Linked DNA regions of Arabidopsis thaliana. The protein of the gene in region 2 purifies or fractionates together with the protein of the main gene of each other region. This does not show direct contact. Each region holds a gene or a part of one and is shown on either strand. Other genes may lie near its edges.

Region 1 (9,921 bases), on a different chromosome or scaffold from region 2:
TTTCATAAAGATCTGAATTTTTTTTAAAAGAGAGGCTATTTTTCTCAAGTGAATATAATGGATGTCACAAAAACTTATGTGACTATTTTCGTTGTAGCGATATTGACAATTTCGGTTTGTAATTACAACATCTTGGCAACACAAGGAATGTTTTTATTATTCAATTTACAGAGATTATTAATTTATCGAATATTAATTTAGAGAGGTTAACTGTTTTTTTGATCATTTGAAGAGCAATGGTTAAACATTATCTTTTCAGAAATTAGAAAAATGTTTTCATGGAATGTCTTACATACACATATATATATATATAACTTGGGTTATAAAATTGCAGTGATCCAAATCCAACAATATGATCGTTGCATTGGGCCATGTTTGAGATTTTACGGAAATCATCAATGTTACAAAAACTGTAGAAAGGCGAAGTATGATGGAGGACAGTGTGATTTTGTTAAAAAAGGTGAAAAATTACCAGAATGTTGTTGCTATTATAACAAAAATTGATACTCATTGTAGTAACCGGCTACTTGAGTCTTGAGCATTATGTTTGTCTTCAACTTCTTAGTATAATAAATTTCTTACAATAAATTAATATTGTTACTCATAAGCAGACAATTTTATAGTACGGTTGCTCAATTGTGCTCAAATCGGAACATGCAGTTCCCTTTTTGGTAAATGAAATGCTTTCGATATTTGCGTAGGCCACTCTGAGAAACGAGCTCCAGAAACAAGACTGGTGTTAAAAGTTTAAACTCTTGTTTTTTGACTCTTTTCAATTTCCTAATAACTTGATGTCAGAATCAGAATCTCATAACAAAAAACAAAAGAGACAGGTTTGATTGAGATTGAAAGAGGAAGATTAATGTAATGGGAATTGAAGTGCAGAAGATATGGCTTGGAGAAAGAGAGGATGCACATCTTCACCCGAGAACACTTCTGACTCCAACTTCTCCATGTGAGGCCATATCTACAAGAACATGGTGAAACAAGTCAATATTCAATCTACTAAAGCTCTTACAACAACATCCCAACTATTAAGTTATTTTTTACCTCGCTCGCATATTGCCTTGTAAATGCCGTGAGATAGCCAAGTGTTGATAAGCACCACTGTTCTCTCTCACCGACTTCGCAACTCTTCTTTGGGTTTCCATTCTCGCTGTCCACGTCCATCGCAGATGGCTTGTCATCTTCAGCACCTATAGATTTTAGATCCTGCACTGATCTCACTTTAGTTGGATCTGGGAGCCGTTCCTTCAGTACACCTAAGAAACTTTGGAACAGCAAGAGCAGTAAAACCTATGCACAAGTCAACTCAATTAGCTTTTAGTAGATAAAAGGAAATAATAAGATCATGTGCTGCATTAAACTAATATATAATACCTCGGTCTCAGAGAGAGCTCTGTTAAGAAGAGCCTCTTTTGCCTCTAGGGACTCCCGAAGAGATAACTCCGCTTCCCCTGTCTTCTCCACTGTTGATTTTAAACGCTTCATCTTCGCTGGATTCTCACCAAGAACGGGTTCACCTTCCACTAGGGAAAGTTTGCTCTCAGCAGCCTCCAACTCTACTCGTGCATTGGCTGAAGCTTTCTCAGCAACCAAAACATTTTTCGTAATGTTTGATATATCTTTCCTCAAATCAGAGATACGGTTATAAGTCTTGTTAAGAGCATTGCCAAGTATCTGCAGAGACAGAAACAGATTTACGAAGATAAACAAACTTGCTCTGCAGAGTGTAGAAAATAAATATACTTCTGTTAAAACGCAACTGACCTCCCATGGCTGATCAGACACATGAAACTGATCAACATTTTCTGGAGAGAACACCCATCTAACAATTGCCTGATTAGATACTAGTCTATAACCCATCATCCTATCAATTGCCACCGCCGTCATTTGTACATTGTTTTTCCAGTATGTACTCACTTGAGATAATAGCATCACCTGCTTATCGTTATCAGGACAAAGCTTTGAAAATACTTGGCCATATCGCTCCAGGACAGTGACCAAATGAGTGAAACTTTTTGATCCGATGTCAAGTAAGGTCTGTACAACTATTGTAAGAGTAACTTCAAAACCATGAACTGGATATATCGTTTCTTCAATCCACACTATCATGTCACGTGCGGTTTGTTTTTCCTTGACCTTCCTGCTCAATTCGGCTGACAATTGCTGTTCTTCTGTTTTCTCTTTACCTTCTTCCAAGGAATACATAAAATTCGGACCAGCTTTTGGAGGAAGTAATTCTTCTAGGGCAGTCGCATTCTCAATGCTCTGTTAGACACACATAGAAAAAACAATATAGCCTGAGGAAGGATATCTGATGCTTAAGTTTGGAATGATATATCCATGTGGATAACAAGATGAAACATTGATCCCCCACAAAATGGAATAAGACAAATAACCCTAGGCTAAGAGAAAAGTATATCTGATGCTTAAGTTTGGCAGCTATTAGGATATCTGACGATCTGTTACCTGCTTAATTTTATCCCAGTAAGACAAGCGTACTTCTCTTTGCAAAATCTCCTGAACAAATACACGCTTAGGGGCCCACTTGGGAAGATCCAACACAAAAGCCCACTCTTCCCACGGCCAGATGAATTGGAAGTTGGATCTGTTAAGCATGGAGTTATCAACATGAGAGTAGAGAGCAAAACGAAATACGTAATCAACTTCATGTGATGAATAACATATTTCTCAATTAATCGAGAAAGTAAGACTCAAACACGACCACTGTATCATGTAAACGAATCGTCAGTAATGCTGACTGAAAATCCATATTTTATGTTTCAATAATCCATATTTTATAAGCTAGGTAACTTTCTAACATATATGGAACATTCACCAAACATTCGACAATAAAGCACCTTTTCCAGATTACAAAAAATCAAGAGGTAAGAAATATGAAATTATATACTTACAAGTGGTGAGAAAACCAGAGGATAAGACGCGTCCTGGATTCCATGTCTAAGTCGGATATTTTCTCAAATAGTGCACGAACAGCGCCAGCAACAACAGCAGGAAAGGCACCCGGAAGAGCCTAAATTAATTGAATATTTGGAATCAGGTTGAAAAAAGAAATAACAGCAGGGATTTAAAAACCATCGGATGAACAGTATAATCCTTTGTACCTTACAAAGATCCATAATCACGAGTGTATAATAAAGAGTCTTGAATGGTGGCTGGGGTAGCAGCAGTATCTGAAAAACAGTAGATACAATTGTTATATTTAAAAATCACAGATCTTGGAATTAATTGGTATAATCTGCCAGAAACGTATGCTTTTATATTACAACGTGAATACTCACTAGAGAGATAATCCCAAAATTTATACAACAGAAGTTACCTGAGAAAATAGTGTCTCTGCCATAAGATACTCGTACCGAAATGTAACAGGAAGATTAGCCATGTAGGATGCACACTCCTTCCGACTAGCTTTGCAATAAATTAATTAGTGAAACAAAATTCTATATAATTTAAGAAGGCAAACAAAATTTAGTAACCAGAAAGAAAGAGACTTAGCATAAGCTAAGATGTTGATTAGAAAACATGTATATGCTAGGCAAGTCTACAACCATAATAATGACTTAAATAAGTATATGCTAGGTTCAACTAGATACTCAACGCAAAAACACTAGCCCTTAGTAGTAGCCAATTAGTCGCCCAGCTGAATCAGTGACCATATTATTCAAAGAGTAAGTCATGAACTTAGATTAATACACCATACTCTAAGGTTAATAATTTAGAAAACACGTGACTAATTTGCTATGGTTGGGGGACAAAAACCAAGATCTACACCAAAACCAGCATGAATGGACGACCACTGTGCAAGAAAAATATAGAAGAAACATACAAAAACGTCAAAAGAACACAAGCTTTGGGAAAATACACACCATCCATTCAAATAGAAGAGCACATCCAGCAAATACTCCTCCACGACAAAACGATCAATTGGTTGTACATCCTGCGAGTTTGATAGTTACAGAATCAGAAGAAAGGGTAGACAAAGAAAAGGAATACAAAAGGACACCATATAACCCATATATCAATCTACAAATATAATAGGTTAGAAAAAAGAAAAATGTTGACGACTGAAAAGGTAGCAAGTATAATAAGCTTCCATTAGCATGAAATATGTCCTATTCAGATAAACAATGACATCAAAAACCAGAATATTACCTCCATTTTATTAGCTGGAAATATATTCAACCTACGAATTCTCTGGGGATATCTCGTCAATGCATCATGCTTTTGCTTGCCACTGTATGCCCTCGAATGATCAGAAGGTGGACTCGGTTGTTCCATACATTTAATGGGACGTAGCTCATGAAACTTTCCAGCAACGAGTTGAGCTTCAAACGAGAGATGAGGCCTAGGTACTAGCACATTGAATATGCATGAAATTGTCAATTGTAATATACAACTAATATCTCTAGTCATATGAACTGATCAATTTGTAAGTCAAACAAGGTAGATAAGGATATTAAAAGAGAGGGTTCGTAGAAGATTGCAATCTTGTAATACAAAGAGATATGAGAAGTTGACAAAATAAGCATACCGCTTTCAAGTTTCCATCCATTGGAAGCCAGAGACTGAATTCGATCCAATAGATCCTCCACGAAATCCTAACGAGACACAAATGAGAAAGACGAATGACGCAGACCAAAAGTTATCACACCATGATACAAAATTCAACAGATATCTATCTCAAACAAAAGCAGAAATGAAACGTCACATCCATGCATCTTATTTATACATTTGCCAAGACATCTACCGAAACAAAATCAGAGGGGCAGCTAACACAAAGCAAATACAACAACTTCAAGAATTAAACACTAAAAGGCAAACCTTCTCTGCAAGGCTGCTTTCAAATTCTCCGTTGTGAAAAAAGTTTAACCCAGAGGTGGAAGAATTCTTTCGGATGCTCAAATAAGCTTGTATCCCAACTAACACTCTTTCAATCTCATCAGGAACTTGCTGCAAACCAAAGGGAAATTCAGCGGCCATACAAGTTAAGATAATAGATATGAAAGCAGACTAACAAAGTTGGTTGCAGATCCAACAAGGATGACATCATTATAAAATTGGAAACGCATATCCAGTATTCTAATAGCCTTCAATGTAAATAATTTCTAGAATGTATTTAGTCCAAGAGCAGTACCTCAGCGAGTTCTGATCCTCCCCACGGGAGGCTGGACAAGATGCATATAACGTAAAAGTCAGCTTGTGGCTGCCATGATGGATTTCCTTTCTCTTCATCCACAGTAGTGGCAGCAGATGATAGCAATGTTTCGAAGACGACAATCAAAGAAGCAGGTTGAATAACCTTACTGCACAACTAAAGAACCCAACTAAAACATGTTAGAAAATAGACAAAACATCTCAAAATTTTCACAAATACTGTTCTATATACTTCGCACTTTTATTTTTTAGACGCTTTCTGTGTATTAGAAACATGAACTAACATATTAAATAGACGAAGCAACCATGAAACATGATTAGCAACCATACCAGGGAAGTCATAAAGCGAAGCAATATACGGATACTGTTGCAGTTGCCAGAATCTAAAGCGACCTGGCATGTTTGACCAAGAAAAACAGTCACATTAGAAACAAAAGTAACTGAGAAAACTTATGTTATCAATTTATCCTTGGCCTTTGATGTACAGATTAGATTATTCACCTGGAAATTAGCGTGGACACTTTCTACTAGCTTCTGGACAAAATCTTCATTCTCCAAGTTCAACAAACCAATCTTAAACATGTGGAAAGACATCCATCAAACTTCGAAGTATGTGTATCAGATTAAATCGAACTAATTTATAACAGGGAACAGGGTATCTCAGTTCAAAAATAGATCCAAATGCTACTTACACAGATAAGAATTATACACAGAAAATATTCAAGCATTCTTTATTACTCAGAAGTTAGCAAATATTGATGAATACTATGAATAAATAGATTCCTACAACATGTTATATATGATATAATAGACACAAAATGATCCACCTTAAGGGCATTTCCACTATTATTTGTGTTTCTGAAGTGTTCATTTGTTTCAAGTTAAATGCCTTCCGTTATTGCTTCGAGCTAATTATTCTTCGATAAGAATCAGTTCACAGATACCATAACATACTCAATCAAAACCTCCACATATATAACACATCTAAATGCAAGCCCAACATCCAACACATACCCAGAAATGAAAAAGCCAAGGTAACTAGTTTATAAGAGACTTACCAAAGTCCCATACAAAGGAATCTTATGAGGCAATTGTTCAGCACATTGTAGTAGAAACTGTTAAGACGAAAACAAAAATAATGAGAACACACAATAATAATATCCACAGAGATACATCACAACAGATCCTAAAATTGAAGGCTCGAAGTCACTTACAGGCAAAACTTGATCTCCAGAACGCTCGATTTCTCTACGAATGACACCGAAACAAGTCTCCTGTATATAGAGAATCGGAAAAGTTTTGAGTAGTGAGAAAATTAGGGTTTAAGAGCGAGGATGAATCGAGAGAGAGATACTGACGATGTGGTCTTTGTAGTCGGAGGAAGTGCCGTACTCAGGTCCCTTTTCGCCGATGCGAAGGAGAAGAGTTTTCCAATTGCTCATCTTCTTCCGAGAGGTTTTTCTTCAGTTCGTCTCTTTGTTGTTTCTCCTTTGGTATCAGTCACTCTGCCCTAGTTTTTTTTTTTATGTCCGTGTCTCGTCAAAACTAATTTTTTTTTTTTTTTCTCATAAGTGTTGTCATCTAAGAAAAGGAGTTCACAAAAAGAGTTTGACAAAAAGTTTTTCTCTCTCTTCTTTCTCTTAGTAGCTGAAACTAGCCGTTAAAACAATAGTCGTCCCAGTTAATTTGGAGCCTAAAGACTTTTCTCTCAGGTGTTCTATTCTGAACGGAGCTTCTACCAGAAATATTTACGTGTTCGGTCCGGTCTAAATTGTTGTTTTCTTCCTCGGATTTTTGGTAGTTCTGACTCTTTCTCTGTTACGAGAGTTTGCTTTGTGATTCTCAGTTCTGTGTTGGTTATCATCTGAATTACTCGGATTTCTTCACTGTTTTTTCTCTTGGAGTTTGTTTCCTGCAAATCAGGTTTGACGAGTTCGGGAAAGTTGTTTACTCTCTATCAGGATCTCATCATGGAGCTGGATAAAGCCATTCAGAATATGTCGATTTAAGACAATAAGCCTCTGATTCTTTCTGATCAACCGCGCTTTTGTTCAATTAACAGAAACAACTGTCGTTAGTTGGGTAGGTTTTTGAATCTAGAGAATCAAAGGATGTCTAATTGGATATTAGATATGCCACGAATTTGGAGAATTTCTTCTCGGGTTAGAGGTGTTGCTCTCTCAAAGGATCGATTCCAATTTTTCTTCAAATCTGAGGAAGATTTAGAAGAAATTATGAAAATTGGAGTTTGGACAGAAGATAAATTGGGGTGTAGTCATGGATAGATGGATTGAGAATCCTCCAATTGATTATCTGAATTTTCTTCCAATCTGGGGTCGAGTGAGGAATATTTCGGTGAACTATTATACTCAGGACACAATTAAAGAGATCACGAGCTGTATTGGGGAAGTGAAGGAGGTGGTGATGGACTCTGAAAAATCACAGTTTCAGGACTATGTTCGTGTTCGGGTTTTGTTTCATGTCGCCAATCCACTTCGTAACAATAAAGAGGTACAACTTCCATCTGGTGAAGTTGTCACAATTTCTTTTGACTATGAACAGATTAGAAAGAGATGTTTCTTGTGTCAAAGATTAACTCATGATAAAAATAGATGCCCATCCAAAGTCTTAGATTCCATCAAACATGATGTGAGATCATTACAAGAGAAAGGCAAACAGAAGAAGATGTTTTTACCGAGGCTGGCTGAGTTTCCCTTTCAGTCAATTGCTCCCAAAGGAAGGGTAGATGCTTTGCCAGCAAATCCTCTATCAGCTACTGTTGCAATTGATAGTCATCCAGAGAATACTTTGTTAGCTGAGATGCTAGATTTGGACATTAGTACTGGATTTACCACATGTGTTGGTGAGGCTAGTTCCTCCACTTCAGGGTTTAAACATCATATAATGCAGGATTTCACTCCTTTTCAGTTCAGGAAAGAAAAACTAGTTAATGAGCTGTCTCTGAAGAATAAGGTTATTCAGTCTCCTGCCTCTCCTCATTTTGAAAAGGTGTTCAAAAGGAAAAGAAAACCCTCAGACATTACAGAAGCTCAAAGTTTCAAGAGAGACAAGAATACGGTGGTTCCAAGTGAACCACCGTTGGATCAGTAAGGCGTCCTTAGTTGGAATTGTCAAGGCTTGAGGAATCCTTGGACAATTCGACACCTTAAGGAGATGAAAAAAAATCATATCTCGGACATTTTATTCTTCATGGAGACTATGAATCCTGACGAGTTTGTTTCAAAAGTTATTGATTGGCTTGGTTATAACTATATGTATACAATAGAACCTCAAGGGAGAAGTGGTGGCTTAGCAATCTTTTGGAAAAGCCATTTGGACATTGAGATTCTTTTTGATGATAAACATCTTTTGGATCTTCAGTGTTCTTCTAGAAATAAAGTATGCTTTGTTTCTTGTGTTTATGGGCATCTGGTGACATATCTTAGGCCTTAGGTTTGGGATAAGTTGTGTAGTCTTGGATCACATCGGAAGCAAGCTTGGTGTATGATAGGTGACTTCAATGATATTAAGTCGAAAACGGGAAAGAGAGGGGTCCGAGAAGAGTACCTTCTTCGTTTCAATCTTTTCAAGACATGTTGAATACTTGTGATATGCATGAACTAGGTAGTACAAGCAATGGCTTTACTTGGGGAGGGACTAGAAATGGTCAATGGATTCAGTGTAGATTGGATAGATGCTTTGGGAATTCCTCTTGGTTTTCTTTGTTTCCAAATTCTCACCAGTGGTTTCTGAGAGATTTGGATCTGACCATCGTCCTGTTTTAGTCAAGTTTATTAATGATAACGAGTTGTTTCGTGGACAGTTTTGTTATGACAAAAGAATAGCTGATGATCCTTCTTGTATTCAAGTGATTTCCAACTCTTGGACCAATGCAATGTCTCAAGGTTCTCACTCCTCTATCTTTAGTCTTATTGAATGTCGAAGAGCTATTAGTGTATGGAAAAAAATCAGCTGATACTAATGCTTAGAGTAGGATTCAAAGATTGAGGAAAGATTTGGATTTGCTGAAAAGTTATGAGTTTCCAAATTGGCCTAGAATTGCATATATTAAAGATCAATTGGGTCTTGCTGATGAGGATGATGAACTCTTTTGGAGACAGAAAAGTAGTCAAAAATGGCTGTTTGCTGAAGATAAAAACATTGGTTTTTTCATGCTTCTTTGAAATCTTCTAGATTAGGGAACTCTTTGAGCTTCCTTCTGGATGAAAATGGACAAGAACACACCAGGATTAGTGAGAAAGGGAAAATTGCTTCTTCGTTCTTTCAGCATCTTTTTTCATCTTCTTATCCAATAGGCCAGGATAATTTTTTGAATGGTTTTCAAGCAAAGGTTTCATTGGATATGAATCAACAATTAACTCAAGATGTCACAGAATTGGAAGTGTATAATGCAGTGTTTTCTATTAATTGTGAAAGTGCTCTAGGACTAGATGGATTTACTGCTTTGTTCTTTCAACAACATTGGGATTTGGTTAAAACTCAGGTCTTAAGCGAGTTTTTTTTTTTTTTGAGAATGGTGTTATACCACAGGATTGGAATCACACTCACATTTGTCTCATTCAAAAAATCACAAAACCGAGAAGTATGTCGGATTTAAGACCCATCAATTTGTGCTCTGTCTTATATAAGATCATCTCTAAGATCCTCACTGCCAGATTGAAAAAACATCTTCCAAGTATTATCTCTTCAACTCAATCCGCTTTTGTTCCTCAAATATTGGTT
Region 2 (8,007 bases):
TAATGTGCAGAATGTGACAAGTCACACATCCAATTGGGGAAGGGATTCAGTTTCCACATTTGCCATATGTACCAGGGAAAGCTATTGATAAAGTCAGTATTCGTTCCACTCTAAATTCAGTTATCATAACAATTATAACCCGTGAATCATGACCATATTTAAACCAAACAATGCAGGAATGTGGAGATGTTCATGGAACCAATTTTCCACATAGAGCACCTAAGACTAGTGAGTCTGTCATGTTCATAAGATTTATGTCATCATGTGATTCACTTACTTACCTATTGTGGTTTCTCATTTGTCTTCTGATGCAGAGAACTATGGCGTTTGCAGTGAGTATTGCTGAGAAGATAGTCACTTTCTTGAGACAAGCAGAAAACACAAGGAGACAAGCAATGGCACTCCTGCTACTTGTTCTTCTGCTGCTTGCTGCAGCCGCTTTCTACGTCACACGTCTGAGATTCTGATAAAAACACAGCAAATAACATGGAAGATAGCAGGAAAAAAAACCATAGCATAGGGAATAAGATTTTTCTATCAGTAGGATGCAAATATTTCCAACAGGGAAAACATAGTTAAACACATGAGTTTTTTTTTCCTAAGACATTCATGGGTGAATGGCGTTTAATACAAAACATCTGCGCCGTTTCACCCTTAACACTAGAGTTTCGGTACAATACTAAATACAACATCAACCTAAGCATGTCGATACACAACCAACTAAAACAAAGAACCCAACGGAAGATTAAAATAGCATTAAAGGAAGTTAAAAGTGAAAAGGATCTTTTCTTCCCTATCAGAGTTCTACAGCAAGGAGTCATAAGTAGGTTCCCTAGATACACACCTGCAAGAGAGTTGTGATACAGAAGTCAATTACCATATTTGGACAATGCTGATATATAAGTATCATAATCTGTTAAATCAAACTTCACTTACACTAGTAGTTCCTAGTTAATTAAGTCAGACCAGAAGATATCACGACTGCTTGTACATATGGCGCCTCAGCATCTCATTTATCCCCACAGCTGAAATGCTTTCACATCCAAGAAGATCTCGGAGCTTTTCATCACACTGAATAGCCATTGGATTTACTGGGTCCTGAAAGAAAATTGAAAAGCAGAATAAACAAATCTTAATTTTCTTGTTTATGGCCATTCACTATGCTCTATAACATAAAGTTATGTGAAATCCTATACTGTAAATTATCTTATAGAGTAAACCACAATACCAGCTTTAGTTAGCAGCAAACAGGAAAAAAATTCGAAGCAATAAGGAGAAACCAGAGGATTTCAAGATTAAAATCATTACCTCTAAATTGTTGAGTTTTATGTATTCCCAAACACGGCGAATAATCTCTTCGTCTGCCATCTCCGTCTCACCAGTGCCAAAGAACTTACCAAGTGGCTCAGATAATGTAACAGTTGAACTAATAGCAGTTGAACTAATAGGCTCGGTGGTCTCAGTCTTAGTCTCCACCTCAGTTTTTGCCTTTTTTGCTTGACCAGAGTCCTCTGCCAAAAGTGACTCAAACAGTCAGTAACCTTGAACAAACCAAGCACAGTTGGAACTCAGCAAAAAACGCTTGTGTTTAACCATTACTTGATGGATCAAGCGGGAGAATATGCTTAGCAAGCAACTTATTCATCTTGAACATGTCAGTGCAATCAGTCTCAAAAACCACACGCAACGCATCATCACAGATGATCTTCCGCTTGTTACTCGGGTCTTGAAGGTTATTCTTCCTTATATAAGCCCACAATTGCCTCACAATCTAAAACCAAAAGCCAAACACAGCAACACATAAATAACAACCACAATTGCTTATACACATTATAATCATAAATGAAAGACAATGATAACCTCAGTTCTAGGAAGAGCAGGTTCACCAACAACTACTTCAAGTTCTGGAGAAACCCTACAGACTTTGTTTAGTCCTCCAGGACCACCCTTTCTTTTAGTTCCAGCCGGAGCACTGCAAAGGAAAAGTTGACAAATTTCGTTGATGTGCCAAATTTAGGTAGATCAGAAAGAAATAATCACACTATAATAGAACGTTGTATGAATCAATGTGCTAAAAATATCACAGGATGATAATTCTAAACATGAGCATGTAAAACCTAAAAACCCGTAAATGAACAAAATTGACAAAAGATTTAGACATTCCTAAAATGGAAAATCATGTTTTCCATGAAAGTAGCAAAAGCCCTAAATTACTGAAATTGGAACAACCTTGAGCAAAATTACGTACCAACATTTGAAATATGTTGCAAACCCTACCTTTCTTTTGGGGCTTGATTAACAGATAGAGAAGCATTCCCGCCATGTGAGAGCATCACAGAGGATTGTTGTTGTCGCGGAGACTGCTGCTGATGCTGGTGCTGTTGCGGCGGCATGTAAACCGGATAAGGCTGCCGGAAATTTAGGTCATAAGAGTGATAAGGAGGCTGAAGAGCGAAATGTGAAGGATATTGTTGTGATTGAGAAGAAACAGAGAATTGCGAAGGATGGCTAAGTGTGAAATGCCCTTTCGCCATCGGAGGAACATTGACGCCGGAATGCAAATTCTGCTGCTGGTGAGAAGACGGCGGAGGAGGAGGGTGAGATTGTTGTACGGATGAAGCGGAGGCGACGGAGGCAGAAGGGTTTTGGTGAGCACGGAGGAGGATATTGATCTGATCTCTGATGAAAGTCGTCTTCTCCGTGAGGTCTAACCCTAACTTAGCTTCAAGCTGCTGAACAATACTGCTTAACGATGTGAGAGAGCTAGGGTCGGATTGTCGAAGCAAAGTCTCGACTCCTTTCGCTAGATCCTGGTCCGACACCATTGTCGAGAGAGAATTTCAAAGCTTTTTTTTTCATACACACAAAAAAAAAAACTTTTTAAGGAGAAAAAAAAAAACAAATACCCCACAAAAGAAAAAGAAAAAAAGACAACAAATTCTCTATATCTTTCTCTCTCTTATCCTCTTCTCTAATCTTGTCTCTTTCTCTCTCTCCTTCTTCGTCTCTGTCTCTTTATAACTATTTGGAAAGACGAATATGCCCTTCAGGGTTGGTTAGATTTATCAAATGATGACAAATGTCGGTGTTGCCCTTATGAGTCATGGTATCTATGGCTTGTAGGTAGAGGGTGTTGTCGTATTTTGGCTAATCTATTTGCTTTTTTACTTCTTCGCCAGCTGGCTTTAACTTCAGAACTCATCTCTTTACTCGTGGAATGTCGAATACGTCCTTGTAGATTTTCACGCGTTTATAGTTTGCTTCGAGAAGCTTGAGGGTATTAATGGTTATTCGATAAGTATCGGATCGTGAATACAGATCAATTACTGAATACTGCTGACAGAAGTAATATAAATGGAACAGATTGTTATTGGGCTATAACAGTGTGGCCCAATAATAAATATTCGGCCTTTTAACCGAGTTAATCAATCTGGGTGAGACTTGAGTCGGCTCTTGAAGCTTTAATAGGTTGTTTGTTTAACGTCTGCGTTGTGGCGGATTTTGAAGTTTCTCGAGAAAATTGGGAACGAGAGATAAGTTCGAGTAGATTCGCGACTGTCGACGCTTCTGATTTGAAGTATTTGGCGTTTTTTGGAAGAGTTCATTGCTTCTTTGGTTGAGGATTCTTCGTGAATCGCTGGGATTTTGTGTTCTAAGGTTTTTGAAGCAAGCTTTAGCTTAGGGAAAATTTTGAGAATGAAAGGTGAAAGAGAAGTGAAGAATGGTGTTTCTGAGGAAGAGAGAGAGGTGAAGAGGAAGAGAGTGATGGAACGGTCTGATTCGCCACCTCCACCACTAGGTTTCAACAATCCTCTTTTGCCGTTTGCTAATGCTTACGATGATGATAATAACCAGCAGAATAAATCGCAAACTCGTTGTAATGTAGTTGCGAAAGGAGAGGGAAATGGTAACAAAGTGAAAGGAGAAGCTCAAGTAGAGGTCGATGACGACGAAGATGATGATGATGATGCTTCGAAGGGGAGAGGAAAGCATTCACGCCATGTTGAAGTTCGTCGTGATTGTCCTTATCTTGATACTGTTAATCGTCAGGTATATCATTGACCAATTTCTTGTGTTTGGTACTTGTAATGTATCTAATCTATGGTGGATCTTTAAGCTTCTGCTAGGTTCATTATATTGCTGGTTTGAGATTAGCGTTTAAACTCATATCTTATGGTTGATTTCAGGTGTTGGATTTTGATTTCGAGAGGTTTTGCTCTGTCTCATTGTCAAATCTGAATGTGTATGCGTGTCTTGTTTGTGGGAAGTACTTTCAAGGAAGAAGCCAGAAGTCTCATGCTTATACACATAGCTTGGAAGCAGGACACCACGTTTACATCAATCTTCTGACAGAGAAGGTTTATTGTCTTCCTGATAGTTACGAGATCAATGACCCTTCTTTGGATGACATTCGCCATGTTTTAAACCCAAGGTATATTAGATCTTGTGACTAACTACATCATAGTTCTTACTGCATTTTGGGTATTGATTTGTGAACATGTGAGCCTTTGCACGTAGTTAACAACAACAAAATTGCTTTGACTATTATCTCAATCAGTTTCTTCTTACTAGTTCTCTGTATCATCTACCATCTATTTATATTTTTTTGCATGATAGCTTGAACATATTACTCTTCTTTCATGTTTTGTCAATTTTTCTTTGATTTTTCAGTTCCTTTGTATGAAGGCTTCGGTGCTATCCATTTACAGGTTTAGTAGAGCACAAGTAAACGAGCTTGACAAGAATAGGCAGTGGTCTAGGGCTCTTGATGGCTCCGACTATCTTCCAGGAATGGTAATCCTTTCTCTTTGATTACACTTGATCTTGAAATTAATGTCTCCTAAAGGTTAAGCTTGTAAATATGTAGGTGGGGTTGAACAACATACAAAAGACAGAGTTTGTGAATGTTACAATCCAGTCGTTGATGAGAGTTACTCCTCTAAGGAATTTCTTCCTCATTCCTGAAAATTATCAGCACTGCAAGTCTCCTCTTGGTCACCGTTTTGGGGAACTAACTCGCAAGATTTGGCATGCTCGAAACTTTAAAGGACAAGTCTGACTCAATTTATGCCTCTCACTTTTTTAGTTTTTGTTATGCACTCACCTATTGAGGACCTCGCTAATTTAAGTTACCTTGCATCAACAGGTGAGTCCACATGAGTTCTTGCAAGCTGTCATGAAAGCCAGCAAGAAACGCTTTAGGATTGGCCAACAATCAGATCCAGTAGAGTTTATGTCGTGGCTCCTCAACACTTTGCACATGGATCTTAGAACTTCAAAGGACGCTAGCAGTATCATCCACAAGTGCTTCCAGGTATGTGTCCGTCCTTTGAAATGTCAACATAATGCAGTTTGATATAATTTCTTACAAAAAAGCTGTATCTCATGTAACCTGTTAACCATTACAGGGTGAGTTGGAGGTTGTGAAAGAGTATCAAGGCAATGAAAACAAAGAAATCTCCAGGATGCCGTTTCTGATGCTTGGGCTAGATTTGCCACCGCCTCCTCTTTTCAAAGATGTCATGGAGAAAAACATTATTCCGCAGGTATATGGCTATTTCAAATCTTGAAAGTCTTGCTACTTTGTGCCATTAAAAAAATGCATTTCAGAAAAATGATAACGTGGAGTGCTAGAAAACTTATGATTCTCAATATACAGCTACATAAATAATGTCACATTTGGTTGAGATACAATTAAGGGATTCTTAAATAGTGCCATTGCCAATTTAATGTCCTGGAGTAAACTTTCTTTTTCGAATCTAGTTCATGACTTGCGAAAGTGTAGAATTCTCTGACTCATTGGTTGTTTGGAGCTCCTGTAGCCTTTATGGCTTGCTACCTCGTATATGCGTCTTAGAGTGTTTAGTTTGCAAAGTGAGGTTAGTGGAATCTAATTTCTTTGATTTTTGGGTCAGGTTGCTCTATTCGATTTATTGAAGAAGTTTGATGGAGAAACGGTGACAGAGGTGGTTCGGCCTAAGCTGGCCAGAATGAGATACCGTGTAATCAAATCTCCTCGTTACTTGATGTTCCATATGGTTCGGTTCAAGAAGAATAACTTCTTCAAAGAGAAGAACCCTACATTGGGTGAGTCTGTTTGAAATTTTTGTGACGTTAATGCTGTATAAGGATCCCCTAATACCTGGTTAATTTGATACAATTTCTTTTTCTATGCCACAGTTAACTTCCCAGTGAAGGACATGGAGCTGAGGGATTACATACCATCATTGCCTAGAGCACCAGAAGGGGAGAATGTGTGTTCAAAGTATAATCTAATCGCTAACATTGTACATGATGGTAAGCCTGAGGACGGGTACTTCAGAGTCTTTGTGCAGCGCAAGTCACAAGAACTATGGTAAGCTTTCTCAATCATTAACTATTATTGTGTTTCATGTTCACAAATGCATGATCTAGATCTGTGCATAAGAAAGATATAAATTCATTTGGGGGATAATGTCCATTGCAGGTACGAGATGCAGGATCTTCATGTTGCAGAGACACTTCCCCAGATGGTAGAACTATCGGAAGCATACATGCAGATATATGAGCAGCAGGAAGAATAGAGCCCTGGAAAGAAACTGACTTCATTTGGTTTAAGAGTAAAAGTGACCAGTTTTATCTTGGAATGAGATTAGAGATTTGTTTCACAACTCTTTTGGAAAAAGATTTTTGGACCCCTTTAAAGGATAGAGAGCCTGTTGTATCATAGTGAAAAACCTTTGGTAAAAAAACACATATATGAGTTTTGGGAAGAGCTTTTGGTAAAAACTAAAAACGCATATTGAAAGAAAGCGACCTCTTCAAATTCTCAAACTTTTGAAATTTTGTAGTAAAAAACACATGTGAGTTCCCTTAATATAGAAGTGGCTGTTTTTCGAATTTATTTGTAACAATGAAAGAGGAATAGAATCTAATTCACTATCTCTACTTTTGGCGATTCTATTCTATTCCATCGTCCAAAAAAAGAATTGATTCTTTTTTTGTTTTCATTAACCAATTCTGGAAGATTATGAGCATTGAACATAACAAGGTAACAATTTGCAACTTTGTAGAAAAGAGTTCATAATATTCTCGAATTTTTAATTGTCATTTCAAGTTAATATAGAGGAGGACCTTTACCTTTAATTAAAATATTATATCCCTTTATTAATTGTGGCTTCTAGAATCAAAAGTTAAAAGATTCGAGAAATAAGGAGAATCATTTTCGTCTTCTACTTAGTTTTCTTCAACTCGATTTCTCTGCTCCATCTTCTTCCTCGTCTTCTCATTCTCTCTCGCTCTGGCACAGTAGAAACTGAGCTCACGAAAGCAGGTTTCACGTCTCTTCCTTATTTACCTCATTCCTGAATCATATGTACATAGTTTTGTTTAGATATGTGTTTCGTCTCCTCAATCCTCAGATCTCCACGAGAAACTAGTATTGGTTCCTCTTTGTTATTCTCCTTAGCTCGTGTGATTACTGACACCATTAGTGAAGATTTCCAGTATTTCCATAAGTATTTCGGCTGCTTAAATTTGGGTTTTATTCCCGATTTTACTCGTATTTGTCCCATTTTTCCTGTTTAATTGTATTTCTCTGTGAATCACTTATGTTCATTGCTTTAGATTCAATAAAATTTTGAGTGAAAAATCCTACTGAGAGCGTTTACTTATGGGGAATTTATCAAGTTCAAGTTTGAATTGTTGTATATTGAGTGTTATTAAAGAGTTTCAATGAATCAATTGGATGGTTTTTTGTTTGGGTTGCTCAACTACCTATGAGAGTACAAGCTTCAAATTGTTTAGAATGCTGGTGATTTTGTTTCCGTGTTTTAATAAAAGCATTTATTGGTGAGAGAGTTTGGAGTACATGTTATTGATATAAGTACATGTCATTGATTGATTCAGATGAGTTTTCTACTTATATTTGCAAATTGATTCTAAATTTACTCGACTTTTTTTTTGGCTTATCAATGATTTTTAGTTGCCAGAGTCTTTCTATCTTTTTTTTGTATTCTGACGTTAGAC

Evidence for each region. The genes of interacting proteins can lie anywhere in the genome.
Region 1: the proteins of AT4G22350 (region 2) and ABH1 fractionate together in Arabidopsis thaliana (co-fractionation; one large-scale study listed by BioGRID). This does not show direct contact.

What each region holds. Positions count from the first base shown.
Region 1 is NC_003071.7:5,633,752-5,643,672, reverse strand, and holds ABH1 (ARM repeat superfamily protein), read right to left. Parts: upstream 6,790-9,921; 5' UTR 6,621-6,789; coding exon 6,537-6,620; intron 6,453-6,536; coding exon 6,393-6,452; intron 6,294-6,392; coding exon 6,237-6,293; intron 5,752-6,236; coding exon 5,680-5,751; intron 5,572-5,679; coding exon 5,509-5,571; intron 5,336-5,508; coding exon 5,159-5,335; intron 4,975-5,158; coding exon 4,846-4,974; intron 4,623-4,845; coding exon 4,556-4,622; intron 4,377-4,555; coding exon 4,177-4,376; intron 3,962-4,176; coding exon 3,891-3,961; intron 3,429-3,890; coding exon 3,344-3,428; intron 3,198-3,343; coding exon 3,129-3,197; intron 3,038-3,128; coding exon 2,919-3,037; intron 2,612-2,918; coding exon 2,473-2,611; intron 2,272-2,472; coding exon 1,771-2,271; intron 1,681-1,770; coding exon 1,381-1,680; intron 1,297-1,380; coding exon 1,051-1,296; intron 968-1,050; coding exon 860-967; 3' UTR 607-859; downstream 1-606. Other genes in the region: AT2G13542 (defensin-like protein), read left to right, coding at 58-118, 335-504. UniProt on the Arabidopsis thaliana protein: Component of the cap-binding complex (CBC), which binds cotranscriptionally to the 5'-cap of pre-mRNAs and is involved in various processes such as pre-mRNA splicing and RNA-mediated gene silencing (RNAi) by microRNAs (miRNAs).
Region 2 is NC_003075.7:11,802,629-11,810,635, reverse strand, and holds AT4G22350 (Ubiquitin C-terminal hydrolases superfamily protein), read left to right. Parts: upstream 1-3,218; 5' UTR 3,219-3,696; coding exon 3,697-4,050; intron 4,051-4,187; coding exon 4,188-4,432; intron 4,433-4,709; coding exon 4,710-4,794; intron 4,795-4,867; coding exon 4,868-5,053; intron 5,054-5,146; coding exon 5,147-5,314; intron 5,315-5,408; coding exon 5,409-5,546; coding exon of another isoform or gene 5,547-5,570; exon of another isoform or gene 5,571-5,915; coding exon 5,916-6,087; intron 6,088-6,180; coding exon 6,181-6,355; exon of another isoform or gene 6,356-6,466; coding exon 6,467-6,563; 3' UTR 6,564-6,805; downstream 6,806-8,007. Other genes in the region: AT4G22370 (uncharacterized protein), read left to right, coding at 11-92, 177-228, 315-467; AT4G22360 (SWIB complex BAF60b domain-containing protein), read right to left, coding at 976-1,098, 1,309-1,511, 1,600-1,771, 1,861-1,972, 2,278-2,825.